Callithrix jacchus: one gene and its partners. The protein of the gene in region 4 interacts with the protein of the main gene of each other region in a pairwise test. Links are inferred from orthologs where the notes say so. Each region holds a gene or a part of one and is shown on either strand. Other genes may lie near its edges. The genes, in order: KLC1, FRK, BCL2 and BNIP2.

Region 1 (4,076 bases), about 130 Mb from region 4:
AACCTCCGCCTCCTGGGTTCAGGCAATTCTCCTCCCTCAGCCTCCTGAGTAGCTGGGATTACAGGCACGCACCACCGTGCCCAACTAATTTTTTGTATTTTTAGTAGAGATGAGGTTTCACCATGTTGACCAGGATGGTCTCAATCTCTTGACCTCGTGATCCACCCGCCTCGGCCCCCCAAAGTGCTGGAATTAAAGGCGTGAGCCACCGCACCCGGCCCATCTGCTTTCTAACATTCCACTTACCTACTGTTTCCAAGTTATACTAATCCTACATTTCATCTGACTTTTTTCTAGTCTAGTTTTCCTTTTAGATAAGTATGTTTTAAGATAGTTTATGGCCCTATACAGAAAGTGACACATTGACTTTTTTCCAACATTGAGAAACATGCTTAAGAATGTATAAACAGGCTGGGCAAGGTGGCTCATGCCTGTAACCCCAACACTTTGGGAGGCCAAGGTGGGTGGATCACTTGAGGTCAGGAGTTTGAGACCAGCCTGACCAAAATAGAGATACCCCATCTCTACTAAATATACAAAATTAGCCGGGCATGGTGGCACATGCTTGCAATGCTAGCTACTCAGGAGGCTGAGGCAGGAGAATCGCTTGAACTTGGAAGGCAGAAGTTGTGGTGAGTCGAGATCACGCCATGGCACTCCAGCCTGAGCTACAAGAGTAAAGCTCTGTCTCAAAAATGTATAAATTTAAATGACTGTAGTTTTTTGTTATGAAATAGTTAAGACACTGTGCGCCTCTCCCCAGTGTCATTCCCTCCCCTTGCTGGAGATAAACACTATCCTGACTCCTGTGCACGTCTGGATGCTTTTCTAAGACAATGCTAGGCAAGGTGAAGTGTGCCAAGGCTGCAGTAAGGTTAGAGGTCACCACTTGGGTCCTCCACAGCACTCAGTGCCAGCACAGGGCTGCCAGGCCCAACTGCAACATGATGTTGCGTTCTTTGAGGACTTGGAGAGACACTGGCTCTTTAGAGTGCCTACCCTCCCACACGGAATTCCACACAAGTTGAAATACACTTCAGATTTAGTATCATGGTATTCTCACAAATATTTAGGAAACAGAATAGGTCAAATTTCTCACCATAACAGGCTTGTTGACAATCCCTCAAAGAAGCAAGACCATGACACTAATGTAACTTGGGAACTTAAGGAGGTCGTTCCAGTTCCCATATGTGTTTTTCACTAAACTAGTGCAATGCATTCTGAGCCGATTCTGATCAATGGCTTAGTCATGCTGTACAGAAAAAAAGACCTTAGAATTTGACGCAAAGAATCAAAGATCCAATTGCCCGTGTAAAGAACACCTAAAATAGTATTATCTCAACTTTTTTGTTCTCACATTTTTAAAAAAAATTTTTTTTTTTGGACGGGCATGGTGGCCTACACCTGTAATCCCAGCCCTTTGGAAGGCCAAGGCAGGTGGATCACAAGGTCAGGAGTTCGAGACCAGCCTGGCCAATATGGTGAAACCCCATCTCTACTAAAAAGACAAAAATTAGCCAGGCGTGATGAAGCCCGCCTGTAGTCCCAGCTACTCCGGAGGCCGAGGCAGAAGAATCGCTTGAACCTGGGAGGCGGAGGTTGCAGTGAGCCGAGATCTCCCCGCTTTTGGCACTCCAGCCTGGGTGAGGCTCCATCTCAAAAAAAATAACAAAAAAAAAAAAAAAAATTTTTTTTTGTAAGCATTCCTTTTCAAACGCTTAATACGTAAATTCTTAAAACAACAGGCAGCAATAATCCTAGTACAAATATGACTAGAAATGACCTACATATGTTAAGTTATAAAACCATCCACTCCATCACGCATATATTTTACTTTTTTAGCGCTTTATTTTAATTTTCTTAAGGAAAAGGGCGCACCGAATTTTACCCGGAAAGCGCATCCCAGGACGGGGGCTGCTTCAAGTTTAGTCGGAGCAACGCCAGCCTAGGTGACCAGGGTCGCCTGAAACGTTTCGCATCTGGTTACTGAAAAAAAGGGGGTCGCCAAAGAGGCGGGGTGGAGTCGGCTCTCGGCAGGGACCGGGCCCCCAGCCGCCCGCGAGGATGACAGGCGCGTCCTCTCAGGGCGGTGCCGCGAGAGGCGGGGGCGGAAGGAAGAGGAGGAATCGGACAAAGCCAGCCCCGCCGGCCGCCCGCCCGCCCGCCCGCCTCGATCCCGGGGGCGGTCACCTCCCCCGTCGCGGGCTCCCGGGGTCCGCAGCTGTCCCCGGGAACGGCCACCGCCGCCCGCAGCAGGGCCGAGCCGGGGATGCGGAGCCGGGGATGCGGGGCCGGGGCGGGGCCGGGGCGGGGCCGGGTACCGGAACCTGCAGTGGGACGCGAACGGGGAGGACGCGCGGCGCCGGGAGCCGGGGCTGGGAAAGGGGCCGGGGACGCGAAGCCAACCTGCACCTGCGAGGGGCCGCGGACCAGCAGGGGTGGGGACCTGGAGCGCAACCGGGGGTGGGAACCGACGGGGGCCGGGACCCGGGACCCAAAGCCGGGCGGGGACAGGGCAGAGGATGAGCAGGGGGCCGCGGCCCGGGGCGCACGCCGGGGACTCACCGTCCAGCTCCTGAGGGCCGCGCTCTCTCGCGCTGTCAGCACCAGGAGCGCCGCCGGGCGCGTGCGCGGAGCAGCAACTGCGCGCCGAGCCGGCCTCGGCCGCCTGAGGCGCGGAACAGCGGTCGCTAGCGAGGGGCGCCGGCGCAGCCGCCCCGCAGCATCCTCGGCCGCTGTCCTTTCTGTCGCCAAGCGCAGCCCCGCCGACCCAGCCCGTCCCGCTCGACCGCCCGCGCCGCTCCCGCCGCCGAAAATGGCGTCTCAGTCTCGCTCCCGCGGTGCCCCGCCTCGCCCTGCCCCACAATGCCGCGCGCCTGCATGACGTCATCGTCCCTCGCGCCGCCCGGGGCCGGGGAAACTGAGGCTGGGTAGCTCCCTGGAGGCGCTCGGCGACCTAGGGACCGGAGGGGCGCGGAAGCTGTTTGGGTGTCAGGTGGGCGGTCAGAGGGAGGAGGGTGATGCTGCAGGACCCCGCGGGCCTCCCGGCTGAAACGCGGGCGAGACGGGGCGCTCGGGGCAGGGCGTGGCACGGGCGGTGGGCCACGAGGCCCGGGTGTCTCTGACGCCGCAGCTGTGGCGGCCGAGCGCTGGAGCGGCTTATTCTCCCGACCGGAATGCGGCCGGGGAAGGTGCAGGCCCGGCCGCTGCCGCTGCCGCCACCGCTGGGCCCCCGCCCCGCTCCACTCCCAGGCCCGCGAGCTTCGTGCGCTCATTTCGGTCCCCCGAGAACCCCACTAGGAGGCCTTCGGGAGCCCCCCGACAGCCTTTGGTCGAGATCCTGACCCCTAACCCCGCGCCCTCCCCGTGTCATTGTTCCCCCCTCTCGGGGCTTCTGGACCCTCGAATCAGGGAGACTTTCCCCGGCGCTCCTGCTGGACACAAAGTGCACCTCGGGCGGGCTCAGGGGAAGGGCCGGGGTGCAGGCTGTGAGGATGGGAGACGCCCACCCCCTGTCCCCACGCAGCCACCGGCGCATGGCCCTGGCCGCAGGGACTCGACCTCCAGCCTAGCCTGAAGGGCAGCGGAGCGCGCCTGGGTCGGGTCCTGCGGTTCCGCCGGCTCCGCAGGCCTGACTCAGCAGCCAGCCGGGAGGACCTGCTGATTCCGTGGGCGAGGCTCCGCGCGCTGCCGCCAGCGGCTGGAGAAAAACCCTCCCGGTGCGCAGACGTCCCAAGTGCGGGGCCCGGAGGCGTCATTTAACCTGCAAGGGTTCCTGGGCCAGTTCCCCAACCCCATCGACTGCTGTTCCTTTCCGATGTTCTCTCCCAGCGCCAGCAGCCCTGTGTGAACCCTGAGAAACGGAGCTCTGGTTATTTTGATCTCGTTTATGAAGACGAAGGTGGGCTACACGCGGGGAGCTCCTAGCGTAACACAGCGGTTAGGGTTGGGCCCAGCGAGAGGGAGTGAGTCAGGGTCAAAGAGACCCCCTCCCCACACCACTTTCAGGGTCACGATTTCAGCCAGACTGCAGCTTGGGTGTCATCAAGCTCAGCCACTAGGCCGGACACCGCCGA
Region 2 (3,561 bases), on a different chromosome or scaffold from region 4:
CTTCCTCCCTCCCTTCCTCCCTTCCTCCCTTCCTGCCTTCCTCCCTTCCTCCCTTCCTACAAAAAAAAAAAATAATGTTCTATACTGAAATAATACAGCATTGACCTTAATGTAGCAGTTTCGAGACTCGATGTCCCATTTGTTCATAAACAGAAGCAAATAATCATTTTTTTAAAAGTATTCTTTTAAATTGCAGTGTGATACATACAATAAAAGTATACAATTCATAAGAGTTTAGTTTGGTGAATACAAAGTTTATAAACTCAGGTAACCAGCACCAAGTTAAGAAGCAGAATAAGGCTAACAACCCAGTCACTGACTCCTCATATCAATAGTTTTGCTTGTTTTTAAGATTTTTGTTTGTTTGTTTGTTTTTTAAGACAGTGTCTCATCCTGTTGCCCAGGCTGGACTGGAGTGCAGTGGCACAATCAATCATAACTTACTGCAGCCTTGACTTTCTGGGCTGAAGTGATCCTCTTGCCTCAGCCTTCCAAGTAGCTGTCACTACAGGCATGTGCCACCAACCCTGGCTAATTTTTTAAAATTATTATTATTATTGTTATTTTTTTTGTTGAGACAGGGTCTGCTGCTGTTGCCTAGACTGGCCTCAAACTCCTGGCCTCAAGTAATTTTCCCATCTCAACCTCCCAAAATGCTGTGAGTAAAAGCATGAGCCACCACACCCAACCGTGTTTTTTAATAATGAGACTATATATTTGAGTTTGCGAGATTCATTCACACCGTTGTGTGTAGCTGCAGTTTTTGTTTATTTACAAATATGCATTCCACTAGATGACAATTTTTTAGTTCATTCTGTTGTTTATTATTTGATAGATATTTGGATACTTCTATTTATTGGTTGATGAACATTTGGATTGCTTCCAGGTTTAGACCCTTAAAATCAGGCAACTAAAAACATTCTTAAACACATATTTTGGTGAATATATTGATTTTATGCTTAGGAGTAGAATTACTGTATTACATGTATGACTATGTTCAACTCTAGTAGATAAGGAAAAACAGTTTTCCAAAGTGGTGGTAAAAATTACTCTTCCATCAACTATGTGTGGGAAGTCACTCCACTTCTTTGTTAATACTGCCTTTTTTCATTTTAACTCTTCTGGTGCATGCCAATTCCTTTTTTTGAAAAAAAAAAAAAAATTGTCCTAGCTATTGGTGTGCCCTCAGTAAACCTCCATATGGGGATTGGGATGTCTTCTTCCCTTTCATAAGAGCATTGCACCAGCCTGACTAATCACTGAAGCATAAAATTATATATTTAGCAAGGAATGCAGAATAGCATTATAGTGGTAAATGCTGCCCAATGCTTATCAATAACTTTGTTAAGTGAAAGCATAAGTATAAAATGCATTAATCAATATTTTGAATGTAAGTGCAGAAATCCCTATTCAAAATAGTTTAACCAAAAAGGTAATTAATTGATTCTTGTAGCTGAAAAGCCAGGCTTGGCTGGCTCTGGGGATTAGGCTTCACTTTCCAAATCAAGACTGCTTCCCACTGGGCTGCTTCTTTTCTCAGGAAGCTTGCTTCCTGCCTAGAGGCCAGGATTCTGCCAATAGCTCCAAAATCCCATCAGTAAACCAAAACCAAAACAACAGCCACAGTAACAAAACTCTTCCTGTCTTCCTGGAACTTCCTAACTCAAGTCCTGGAATTGGGGGTTCTTGGCTCTTATTGCACTGATTCTGTCTTCTTCAGCTCCAGGTGGCTACCAGGTCCTTCTGGACCACATGCTTTTAGAGAAGCAAAAATTCCTGAGGAAAATTGGGGGTGCTGTTAACAGAAGAAGGGCCAAAGGGAGGTGGGTGGCAAGAGTAACAAAATATCCACTGCAGGCCAAACTAGGTAAAAATGATGCCGTCTAGTTATTCCTGTAGATACTACAGGACTTACTCTTGGAGTGAGCAATACTGCTGCGACATTGCATATGTGGACTGAATCAGTTTAGTCTCTGTGGAATTGCTGCTGTTGAACTGTGTTAGGACATTCGGTTACCAACCTGCATTGAGGTACAATATAATGAACAGTCCCGTGGAATTCCATGCATTATTCTAAGGTGGTATTGAGCATACTGTTTATTTCCGTCACCACATTATAGGATTTCATGGGAGAAATTTCTCCCTGGTTTCTGCACCAGGAAGAATTGAACTGTTTCTAAAAACCTTTCATGATTTTATCTTATGGACACTGTGAATCCCCAAAATGGTAAGATTTTCTTCTTTGCATTGTTAGAGTGATAGAGTCAATTTTATGGCTTGTTTTAATCACATATACTAGACTTAGAAGCATGAATTCTTTTAGTGCTAGCCTCACCCCTTTATTTTTACATTTTCTTTGGTATTATTTCCCAATTCTCACACCCTCTCTTTTGTTCTGTATTGTTGGTAAACTTTCTTAAGTCTTCTGAGACGAAGTTGAGAAATACATAGAATTTTATATAGATTTCATTTTATGCATTGAAAATGTCACCACAAAGTAAATAAATCTGCTTGTCTTTAGCAAGAAGTTTATTAATAGGAATTATTTTGGGTCTCAGTTTTAGATGGAGGAGTTGTAAAACACTACAGAATCAGAAGACTGGATGAAGGGGGCTTTTTTCTCACCCGGAGAAGAACCTTTTCAACACTGAACGAGTTTGTGAGCCACTACACCAAGACAAGTGACGGCCTGTGTGTCAAGCTGGGGAAACCATGCTTAAAGGTGAAAATGCTTTCAAGCTGTGTTTGTTTATTGAAGTTAACTTTTTTCCTCCAGATATCTGAATATTTGTCAGATATCTGGAGTAAAAAAGGAAGCAACCCCACTGGGCTGCTTCTCTTCATGGGGTGGCTAAAAAAATGACAATTTTATTACCTGAGGCAGGTATAGGCAAACCATGGCTCATGAGCCCACACTGACCTATGCTTGTTTTTAGAAATAAGTTTTATTTGCACAGATGCTCATTCATAGATGAGTTTTCTTTGGATTCTTTTGTGCCATGACAGCAGAGTTTAGAAGCTGCAACAGAGACCATAGGGCAGGTGGTAAACTAGACTATGAGTTCTAGAAGGGCAGGGGTCTTGTTTTGTGTATAGAAAAGTACCTAGTCAATGCTTAAAACAATTTTACTTACTAAATGAATGAGTAAATAAATTAATGAACAAATAAAGCAATGATAAAATGAGTTTGAAATATATAAACATTTAATTATGTAAAAATAGATGATGCATATAATATATACTATAGCCAAAGAGTTTGGGAAGGATTTGTGGGTGAGATGGAACTTCAACTGGGCCTTGGAACTGAGAGGATTTAGCTAAGCACAGGGGTAGAGAGAAGTCATTCCAGACTTGAGTGAGGATGGCGTTAGGTATGGGATCACACAGATGGACAACGAGGTGCCTGACTTCCCAAGATGTGGAAGATCAATCCGAAGAGTTAACAATGTAGATTCTCCCACCATTGTTTTTTGGTTTTGAAGTAATCAGAAGACTGTTTACAATGTTCTGTTTTTAAAAAAATGTTTTCTTTAAAAGTACCTAGATCATTATGTTCAACAA
Region 3 (4,321 bases), on a different chromosome or scaffold from region 4:
GATACCTAGATGCAAACTTTTTCAGGAGACCACAAAATTATGTCGACTCTAGGTAGTGAAAAACAAAAGATTCTAACAACATTCTAGTGAATTAGTAACTCATACACAAATTATAGAACATAAAGAATGCAGCCGATGCAAATTCTGTCACTGACGAGGTAGCAAAGCCATAGACCAATACCCCTCAAGACACTGCGTCACGCCCACTGGAAATATGGCACACACTGGAGATTCCAGTGCAAGGACTTTGGAATGTCAATTTAGCTCTTTACAAACACAACTAAGTTTTCCAGGGAAAGGGACTCAGGTTGGTTTTCCTCTTTTGGAAAATTTTACCGAGTTAGAAAAAGCGTACCCTTAGTCTTCTGTGGAGTCTGTTCTTCTCATTGGGGTGTTCCCAAATTTAAGTGCACCAGGGGCGTGTCTCAGGGGAGCTTGTTTAGGATGCAGACTGTCAAGACCCAACCTGGCATCTGGTTCATAAGCAGGCCCTGAAACCTCCCTCCGGTCCCAACAAGCTGCTCAGGCCAGGAAACTGTGGTCCTGGGGACTCCTGGACCTCCAGCTCGAGAAACACTGAAGGGGTACCATTGACCACCACATCCTACTGGACCTCCTCAACTAGCGAGCAAGTTAAAGACTTTTAGAGGGCAGGCGTCATCACTCAGGTTGGGAAAGAACACTTTGTCCAGAGGAAGAGGTTATGGACGCCGGGAAGCAACAACCCTGATTTTATTTCACCAGCCCCACAGCCTCCCCTTACCCCAGGAGCCCACCCGCCGCACTCCAACCCCCACATCTCGGACCTGCAGCCTCAGCCCAGACTCCCATCACCACGTGCACCTACCCAGCCTCCGTTATCCTGGATCCAGGTGTGCAGGTGCCGGTTCAGGTACTCGGTCATCCACAGGGCGATGTTGTCCACCAGGGGCGACATCTCCCGGTTGACGCTCTCCACACACATGACCCCACCGAACTCAAAGAAGGCCACAATCCTCCCCCAGTTCACCCCGTCCCTGAAGAGCTCCTCCACCACCGTGGCAAAGCGTCCCCGCGCGGTGAAGGGCGTCAGGTGCAGCTGGCTGGACATCTCGGCGAAGTCGCGGCGGTAGCGGCGGGAGAAGTCGTCGCCGGCCTGGCGGAGGGTCAGGTGGACCACAGGTGGCACCGGGCTGAGCGTAGGCCCCGTGGCGGCGGCGGCGGGGGCGGCTGGGGGCGGCGGCGGCGAGGTCCTGGCGACCGGGTCCCGGGGCGCGGCGGGACCGGGCGTGTGCCCGGGCTGGGAAGAGAAGATGCCCTCCGCGGGGGCGGCCCCTGGGGGCGCGGCGCCCACATCTCCGGCATCCCACTCGTAGCCCCTCTGCGACAGCTTATAGTGGATGTACTTCATCACTATCTCCCGGTTATCGTACCCTGTTCTCCCAGCGTGCGCCATCCTTCCCCGAGGAAAAGCAGCGGGGGCCAACGGCACCTCTCGCTCCAGCTCCCACCCCACGGCCCCCAAAGAAAGAAGAAGAGTTATAATCCAGCTATTTTATTGGATGTGCTTTGCATTCTTGGAAGAGGGGGTGTCTTCAGTCACGCGGAACACTTGATTCTGGTGTTTCCCCCTTGGCATGAGACGCAGGAAATTTTTATTCCAATTCCTTTCGGATCTTTATTTCATGAGGCACGTTAGTAGTAAGCATTGTTAATATCAGTCTACTTCCTCCGTGATGCTGAAAGGTTAAAGAAGAAACAAACTCATAAGTTAAAAAAATCAGGTGCATTTTCCTGTATGCCCTGGCTGAAAGCAGGGCATACGCACTACAAGTAACACGGCTAAAAAGAATGTATTAAACTGCCTGGAAATTAAATTTACTCGAATGCACTTTAAGTAAAAATTCTCAAATGTTTTCATTGAAAGTTACATTAAGCCAATTTCCTGTGCAGAGAACTTACTTGTATTTTTTAAGAACAGCATGATCCTCTGTCAAGTTTCCTTTTTTGTAAAACCAAAACAAATGCATAAGGCAACAATCCCATCAATCTTCAGCACTCTCCGGTTATAGCTGCTTTGAAACTTCCCAATGAATCAGAAGTCGGGGGGAGGGGGAGTAAAAATTAGGAGGATTTCCAGATCGATTCCCAGACTTCTGCTTCACAGAAATGTCAATCCGCAGGAATCCCAACTGGAGATCTCAAGAGCTCGAGAAAAAAAGGCAGCGGCGGCGGCAGATGAATTACAATTTTCAGTCCGGTATTCGCAGAAGTCCTGTGATGTTTTCCCCTTCTCGGCAATTTACACGCGCGCATACACGCGCGGGCACAGGCATGAATCTCTATCCACCGGACCGCTTCACGCCTCCCCGGCAGAGAGACAGGGGAGGGGGGACGACGGAGGAGCCGGGGACGGGGGCAGCAATCCTCTTCTGATTAAACTCCGAACAGCGAATGCATTTTCCGAAAAGCTGCTGGATAAATGAAGGCAGGACGCGCCTGGCCCGCCGGTGCCGAGCGCTAGAAGCCCGCGCTGTGTGTGGTGCGGCGAGGGGTGGGGAGAAGGAGGTGGTGGGGGAGGGCTTTATTTTTTCCCTCTTTTCCTAAAAAGGACGACTGCTACGAAGTTCTCCCCCCTGGACCCCCTTCTTCCGCTGCACCCCACCGGCGCACCCCGCCTCCGGGCTGCGCACCCTTTCTCCTCCTCCTGCTCCTGCGCGACGGCGCTGGCTGCGGCCGCCTCCCGGAGCTCCCGCCGCGCAGCCCGCTCCGAGCGCAGACGGCCGCCGGCGGGGAGGGCCCGGCGCCCCGGCACCTTCGCTGGCAGCGGCGGCGGCGGCGGCGCGGCGGGGCCAAGGCGAGCGGCGAGCGGGCGGCGCGGCGGGCGGGCTGGCGGCGCAGAGGGGCGGGCGCGGGAGGAAGGGGGCGGGCGCGGGGCGGGGGTGTCTGTCCTCTTACTTCATTCTCCGCATAGCCCGACCGGTTTCCTGTGCGTAACGTCACACGGTTCATTCAAAAAAAGAAGAAAGAAAGAGCCCTCCTCTGAGCCGCCCGACCGCCCCCTCCGCCCCGCTCGCTGGCCCGGGTTAAAGGCGCCGCGGCGGGCCCGGGAGCGGCGCACCCCACCGGGGGCACATGGCGCGCGGGGCCGCGACCGGGGAGGGCGCACCCGGGCCGGCCACCCGCCCGTTCCGCTGCGTTCGCCCGGCCCGGCCGGTGGGTGGCGCGGGTTGCGCGGGCGGCGCAGGCCTCCCGCGCGGCCGCGGCGCGGTGGGTGTGAGCGGGCCTTCTGCTCAGGCCTGTGGAGGGCCGGGCGCGGACCTCGGGGTCCGCGAGGGGGTGGGGGCTGCCGGGGAACCGCACGCGGCCCGGCCGGCGACGGAGAGCGGAGGGGGGCGGCTGGCGGGAGGGTGCGCCATGAAAACAAGGGCTGGAAAAGCGCCGGGAACCGCCTGGACCCTTTCTAGCCGACTGAGAGAGAGAGAGAGAGAGAGAGAGAGAGAGTGAGAGAGTGAGTGTATGTGTGTGTGTGTGTCGCCTGGACCCTTTCTAGCCGTGTGTGTGTACACGCGCCTACACACACACACACACACACACACGCCATGTTACCCGCGCTCTGCCCCCGGGGGAAGACCCAGGCCAATGCCACCCCCACCCCCCACCCCCAAGCAGGGGGACCTTAGCTCTGCCCTGCGGTGAAAACAGGCGACTCTGAAACGTTTTAAGCAATATCCAGGGACGCCCCCAGCGTAGTGTTTACTTTCAAGTGGATTACTAGGTGTCGGCGCACTACACACGCGCGCGCATTCTCGCCGGTGTCCCCGTGAATATCCAGTACGTGGCCAAGGCCAGGCAGAACTCAGCGCTCCACGGAAGGAGCCAGCGAGGGGTTATCAAGGGCTTTAAAATAATTTAAGTCCGTGTTGTTCCTCTGTCCCTAACACGTTCTGCACTGGGTCAGGGCTGCACGCTGAAGAGTTCTGCATAGTAACTTTCGGGCCCACCGTCCTAACGCTGGGGTGGGTGGGCTCCTAAAGGTCTCCACCTTTCTCCACCTTTGCCTTGTAGCCAATCCTAGATGGCCGCACTTTCTCAAATGATGTACGCAGATATATACACATCCACACTCGCAGACGTGTGTAAGTGCAATCAGTTTTAAATTCATCGGAATGAATAGCCCCTAGCAGAAAAGGACAAGAGGACAAACAAGTTGCACGTGTTTATTTTTAGCTCCAAGAGTCTTTGACAAATAAGACACCGAGAAAAAAAATAAAAGGTTTACCAGAAGCACAGCGGCTTACTTAATAGGGCTCAAGTTCAAATATATAGGGACAATAGATTA
Region 4 (4,156 bases):
GGTCACATTAGAACTGTTTAGATCGTAACACAATTTTACACAATAATTTTGCTATATGCAGTTTAACAGTGCTGCTCCAATACGTGCCAGAAACGACTATTTATGCTGAAATCAATTACAGTGGCAGATGGAAATGCCCAGGCAAGTCTTTCACTTCCCCATTTAAACAAAATGGTTTCATTCTAAACATTTCTGTTCACTTTTTAACGAACAGCCTGTACATTTAGGCGATCACCAAACATCCTTAGAAAAATCCTATATACTTGCTTGTCATTGCTTCCATGAGGGGAGGGGTATATCGTTTTTAAACAATAAAATAAGATGCTCTATCAGAAATGTTAACACAAGCCAGGCACGGTGGCTCACGCCTGTAATCCCAACACTTTGGGAGGCTGAGGTGGACCGATCACCTGAGGTCAGGCGTTTGAGTCCAGCCTGGCCAACATGGAGAAACCCCATCTCTACTAAAAATACAAAAATTGGTCAAGCATGGTGGTGCCTGCCTGTAATCTTGAGGCAGGAGAATCGCTTGAACCCAGGAGACAGAGGTTACAGGGAGCAGAGATCGAGTCACTGCACTCCAGCCTGGGTGACAGAGCAAGACTGCATCTCAAAAAATAAATAAATAAATAAATAAATAAAATAAACGTTAACAAAAATGTAAGAGGAAAAACTAGAGTGGCGATGACTTCTCTCAAAATGGTGAAAATAAAGCAAAAGACGATGGTGCTGCCTACGAAAGTGACCTTTACTGAATTATCATTGCAGAACATACAGAAAATGCTGAGACCTTAGTTTGCTGTAGTCAGAAAAATTAATTGTAACATAAAACTATAATCGTGGAATATTACTATCATCGTATTACACTAGTATTTTGCTTCATAGCATGTGAACACAACGTGGCATTTCTTTTTTCCACCAGAGTGGCGGCTCGGGGACACACACAGTCTCACTTTGTAGCCCACGCTGAACCAGTCTGGAGTGCAGTGCTGCAATGTCAGCTCACTGCAACTTCTGCCTCCCAGGTTCAAGTGATTGCTGTGCCAGTCTCTCCAGTGGCTGGGATTACAGGGATGTACCACCAGGCCCGGCTAATTTTTGTATTTTTGGTAGAGATGGGGTTTCACCATGTTGGCCAGGCTGGTCTCGAACTCCCGACCTCCGGTGATCCGCTGTCTTGGCCGCCCAAAGTAACAAGACATCTTTGATCCTACCAGCCAACTTTGACTTCCTGGATCTGGTTACACATGCTTTCTCCGACACCCTTCTCCCTATTGTTCCTTCTACCAGCATTACTCCAGATCGAACAGAATTTTTCCAGAGTGCTTTTCACATTTACTAACCCCTTTGATATCCATCATCTCATGTTCCAACCAGTCACTTTGCGATGCATGACACTTGTGTTATCTTCAGTTTATCTTACATGTGAGGAACCACATCCTGGTCCACCTACCTAGTCCAGAACTGCCTCTAATACAGCGCACCGTCTGCAATGCATTGGCAGCTGCATACAGAATAAGCCCGTAGTGCCCGATTTGGTGGCACTTAGCTTCAAAGATATTGTAATGCCTGAAGACCATAATAGCACTGACTTATGATAATCCAGTTCAAGTTCCGTTTGCAGAAATCGATCTGTCATACTTCCTGTCTAAGCCCAACTATGTTAGGCTGCACTACAGATTATGAAGACCAGGAATAGAGTTTAGAGAAACCGAAAAATAACAAGAACTAAGACGAGTATGTGCAAAATGATCAAGAAACTAGTGTGCAAGGGTAACTTAATTGGGTAACGTCGTCACTTGCAATTCTGAGGAAACATCCATTCACAAAGTACAGTATTTGTTTCTACATCTGCAGATATGCCAGTAAAATGTTAGAAAAATAACACATTTAACTGAAAATAAGAAATCAGGTATTAGGAGAGACAGAGATCCTAATCAAGAGAAAGTGAGAATGAAAAAAGCAACACTAAAATGCAATCAGATAATTCATTCGATGAAACAGGAGACTGTGCCTATCTTGATGAACACGGCAAAAGCTGTGCCCTCCAAGAGCTCACAGGATAGACAAGTAACTCTCCAGCGGCAAGAGATGCATCCAGAAATGCAAACCATTGTGCCAGGTATTTAAACAGAAAAGGTGGTGTCGGGATCCCAGCGGGGACTGGACGTTTGACGTACACACTCTAGATTTGGTTTAGCGCGCTCGGGAAGATCTATAAAGCCCGGATTTCTTACGCTGCTCCCGTGTCTATTCCCCGAGGTTACAAGGCGTACCAGAAGTCCAAGTTTCTTTGTTCTGCACCAGGGCGGACGCTGGTCATAAATACTGAACCATCGTGGCCCAGCCACTTCACCCACACCGGGGTAAAGGTGGGGGAGAGGGGGAGGCACAAGGTTCTATCCCGAGCACAACTACCAGAAACGGAAAAGGGGTGGGGTGGGGGCCCAACTGCCAAATACAAACAGGACCCGAGCCAAGGGCGGGGACCTACGCTGGGCGGGGATCCAGGAAGCACCTCCCGAGCAGGTTCTATGGCGCCCCCTACCACGGGTAACCTTCTGCGTTTCCTCTCCCCGGGCGTCTTGGGTAAGCGCCCGACAAACCTGCGCCCCTAGGCCGGTTCCAGACCGGCTCCGGAGCCACCGTGCCGAGTCCCCCCAGGCCGCACTCACCCCGGAGGAAGCCTTGGCCCCCTCGTCCTCCTCGCCCCTCCAGGCCGGCGACGTGGGGCTGACGGCCAGGTCGCAAAAAGCGGCGCCGAGCGGAGCCCGCTCCCCTCGGTCGGCGGTGGAGACCCCGGCCCAATCCCCCGGCCGCAGCGGCACAGCGGCGACGGCGGCAGCTGACCCGGAAGCAGTGAGAGATCCAGACGGAAGTGACGTCACTCCGACGTCCTCCGGGCGCGGCAGCGGAGGAGGCGGTGGCGGAGGCGTGGCGTCCCCTAGAAACCCACACAGCACCCCCCTGGCCCACTCAGACCGCCCGGGCTGTCGCTCGCGTCAGCCTTCCTCGCCTCTGGGCAGACCCGTCGCTTCGAGTCCTTATTGGTGGCGTTTACCGCGCCTCGAGGCGTTTCTTCTTTGTTGTGCGCTGGGACGCTGCCCTGTAGTCTCCGTCATTTTTGTTTTCTTTTTGCCTCTCTTTATGGAACATTACAGTAGGTGAAATTATCCCTATCAATATATTATAATGCAATAGGTGCAATTACCAATAGCAATTTTATAACAACAGGGGCAAGTGTCAGTATCATTACGATAGGTGCAATTATCAACGCTCAATAATAATGTGAACAATGTGAATTATAAAATGAATGAAATAAGGGGAGGAGGCCGGGCGAGGTGGCTCACGCCTGTAATCCCAGCACTTTAGGAGGCTGAGGCGGGTGGATCACCCTAGGTCAACAGTTCAAGACCAGGCCGGGCATAGTGGCTCACTTTGGAGGCCAAGGTGGGTGGATCACCTGAGGTTGGGAGTTCATAACCAGCCTGACCAACATGGTGACACCCCGTCTTAAAAAAAAAAAAAAAAAAAAAAAGTTCAAGACCAGCCTGGACAACATGGTGAAACCTCACCTCTATTAAACATACAAAAATTATTGGGACGTGCTGGTGGACACCAATAATTCCAGTTACTCAGGAAGCTGAGGCAGGAGAATCACTTGAACCCAGGAGGCACAGTTTGCAGTGAGCGGAGATCATGCCATTGCACTCCAGCTGGGACAACAGACCAAAAACGCCATCTCAAAAAAAAAAAAAAAAAAAAAAAAAGAGAAAGAAAAGAAAAGAAATAAGGGGAGGAAAAATATCCGAGACTTCATTTTGGGGAGCTAGGCCTCAGAAGCGTCCTTGGAGTTTGGTAATTTCGAGTGTGAACAGCTTTGCAGCAGTGCTTCTCTTTAATGTGGGGAATGATATATTAATTTTTAAAAATTTTCAATTAGTTGATAAAACAGACAAATGAAAAGACACACAAAGTCCAAATGTAAACTTTTTATCGTTAGGGTTAACATCCATAAAATTACCCGGAAAATTGCTATAGAGTTTTCTACTATCTCTCTGTAGTCTATTTACAAACAGTTCTCAGAAAAGCCCAGGTCTACAGACCATGGTCGGAGTACTCAAAGTAAACTATTCAAATCAGACCATACTCAGCT

The links.
Region 1: the proteins of BNIP2 (region 4) and KLC1 interact in binary tests that used the Homo sapiens proteins (3 or more experiments, as listed by UniProt). The two-hybrid records come from large-scale screens. The link is inferred for Callithrix jacchus from reciprocal best matches to the Homo sapiens genes BNIP2 and KLC1.
Region 2: the proteins of BNIP2 (region 4) and FRK interact in binary tests that used the Homo sapiens proteins (3 or more experiments, as listed by UniProt). The two-hybrid records come from large-scale screens. The link is inferred for Callithrix jacchus from reciprocal best matches to the Homo sapiens genes BNIP2 and FRK.
Region 3: the proteins of BNIP2 (region 4) and BCL2 interact in a two-hybrid assay, tested with the Homo sapiens proteins (3 studies listed by BioGRID and IntAct). The link is inferred for Callithrix jacchus from reciprocal best matches to the Homo sapiens genes BNIP2 and BCL2.

Annotation. Positions count from the first base shown.
Region 1 is NC_133509.1:138,437,267-138,441,342, reverse strand, and holds the start of KLC1 (kinesin light chain 1), read right to left. Parts: upstream 2,818-4,076; 5' UTR 2,566-2,817; intron 1,987-2,565; 5' UTR 1,902-1,986; coding exon 1,879-1,901; intron 1-1,878. UniProt on the Homo sapiens protein: Kinesin is a microtubule-associated force-producing protein that may play a role in organelle transport. The light chain may function in coupling of cargo to the heavy chain or in the modulation of its ATPase activity.
Region 2 is NC_133505.1:122,322,651-122,326,211, reverse strand, and holds part of FRK (tyrosine-protein kinase FRK), read left to right. Parts: intron 1-2,558; coding exon 2,559-2,722; intron 2,723-3,561. UniProt on the Homo sapiens protein: Non-receptor tyrosine-protein kinase that negatively regulates cell proliferation.
Region 3 is NC_133514.1:106,291,981-106,296,301, forward strand, and holds the start of BCL2 (apoptosis regulator Bcl-2), read right to left. Parts: upstream 2,839-4,321; 5' UTR 1,942-2,838; intron 1,719-1,941; 5' UTR 1,436-1,718; coding exon 848-1,435; intron 1-847. UniProt on the Homo sapiens protein: Suppresses apoptosis in a variety of cell systems including factor-dependent lymphohematopoietic and neural cells. Regulates cell death by controlling the mitochondrial membrane permeability. Appears to function in a feedback loop system with caspases.
Region 4 is NC_133509.1:6,442,668-6,446,823, forward strand, and holds the start of BNIP2 (BCL2/adenovirus E1B 19 kDa protein-interacting protein 2), read right to left. Parts: upstream 2,859-4,156; 5' UTR 2,676-2,858; intron 2,437-2,675; exon of another isoform or gene 2,277-2,436; intron 1-2,276.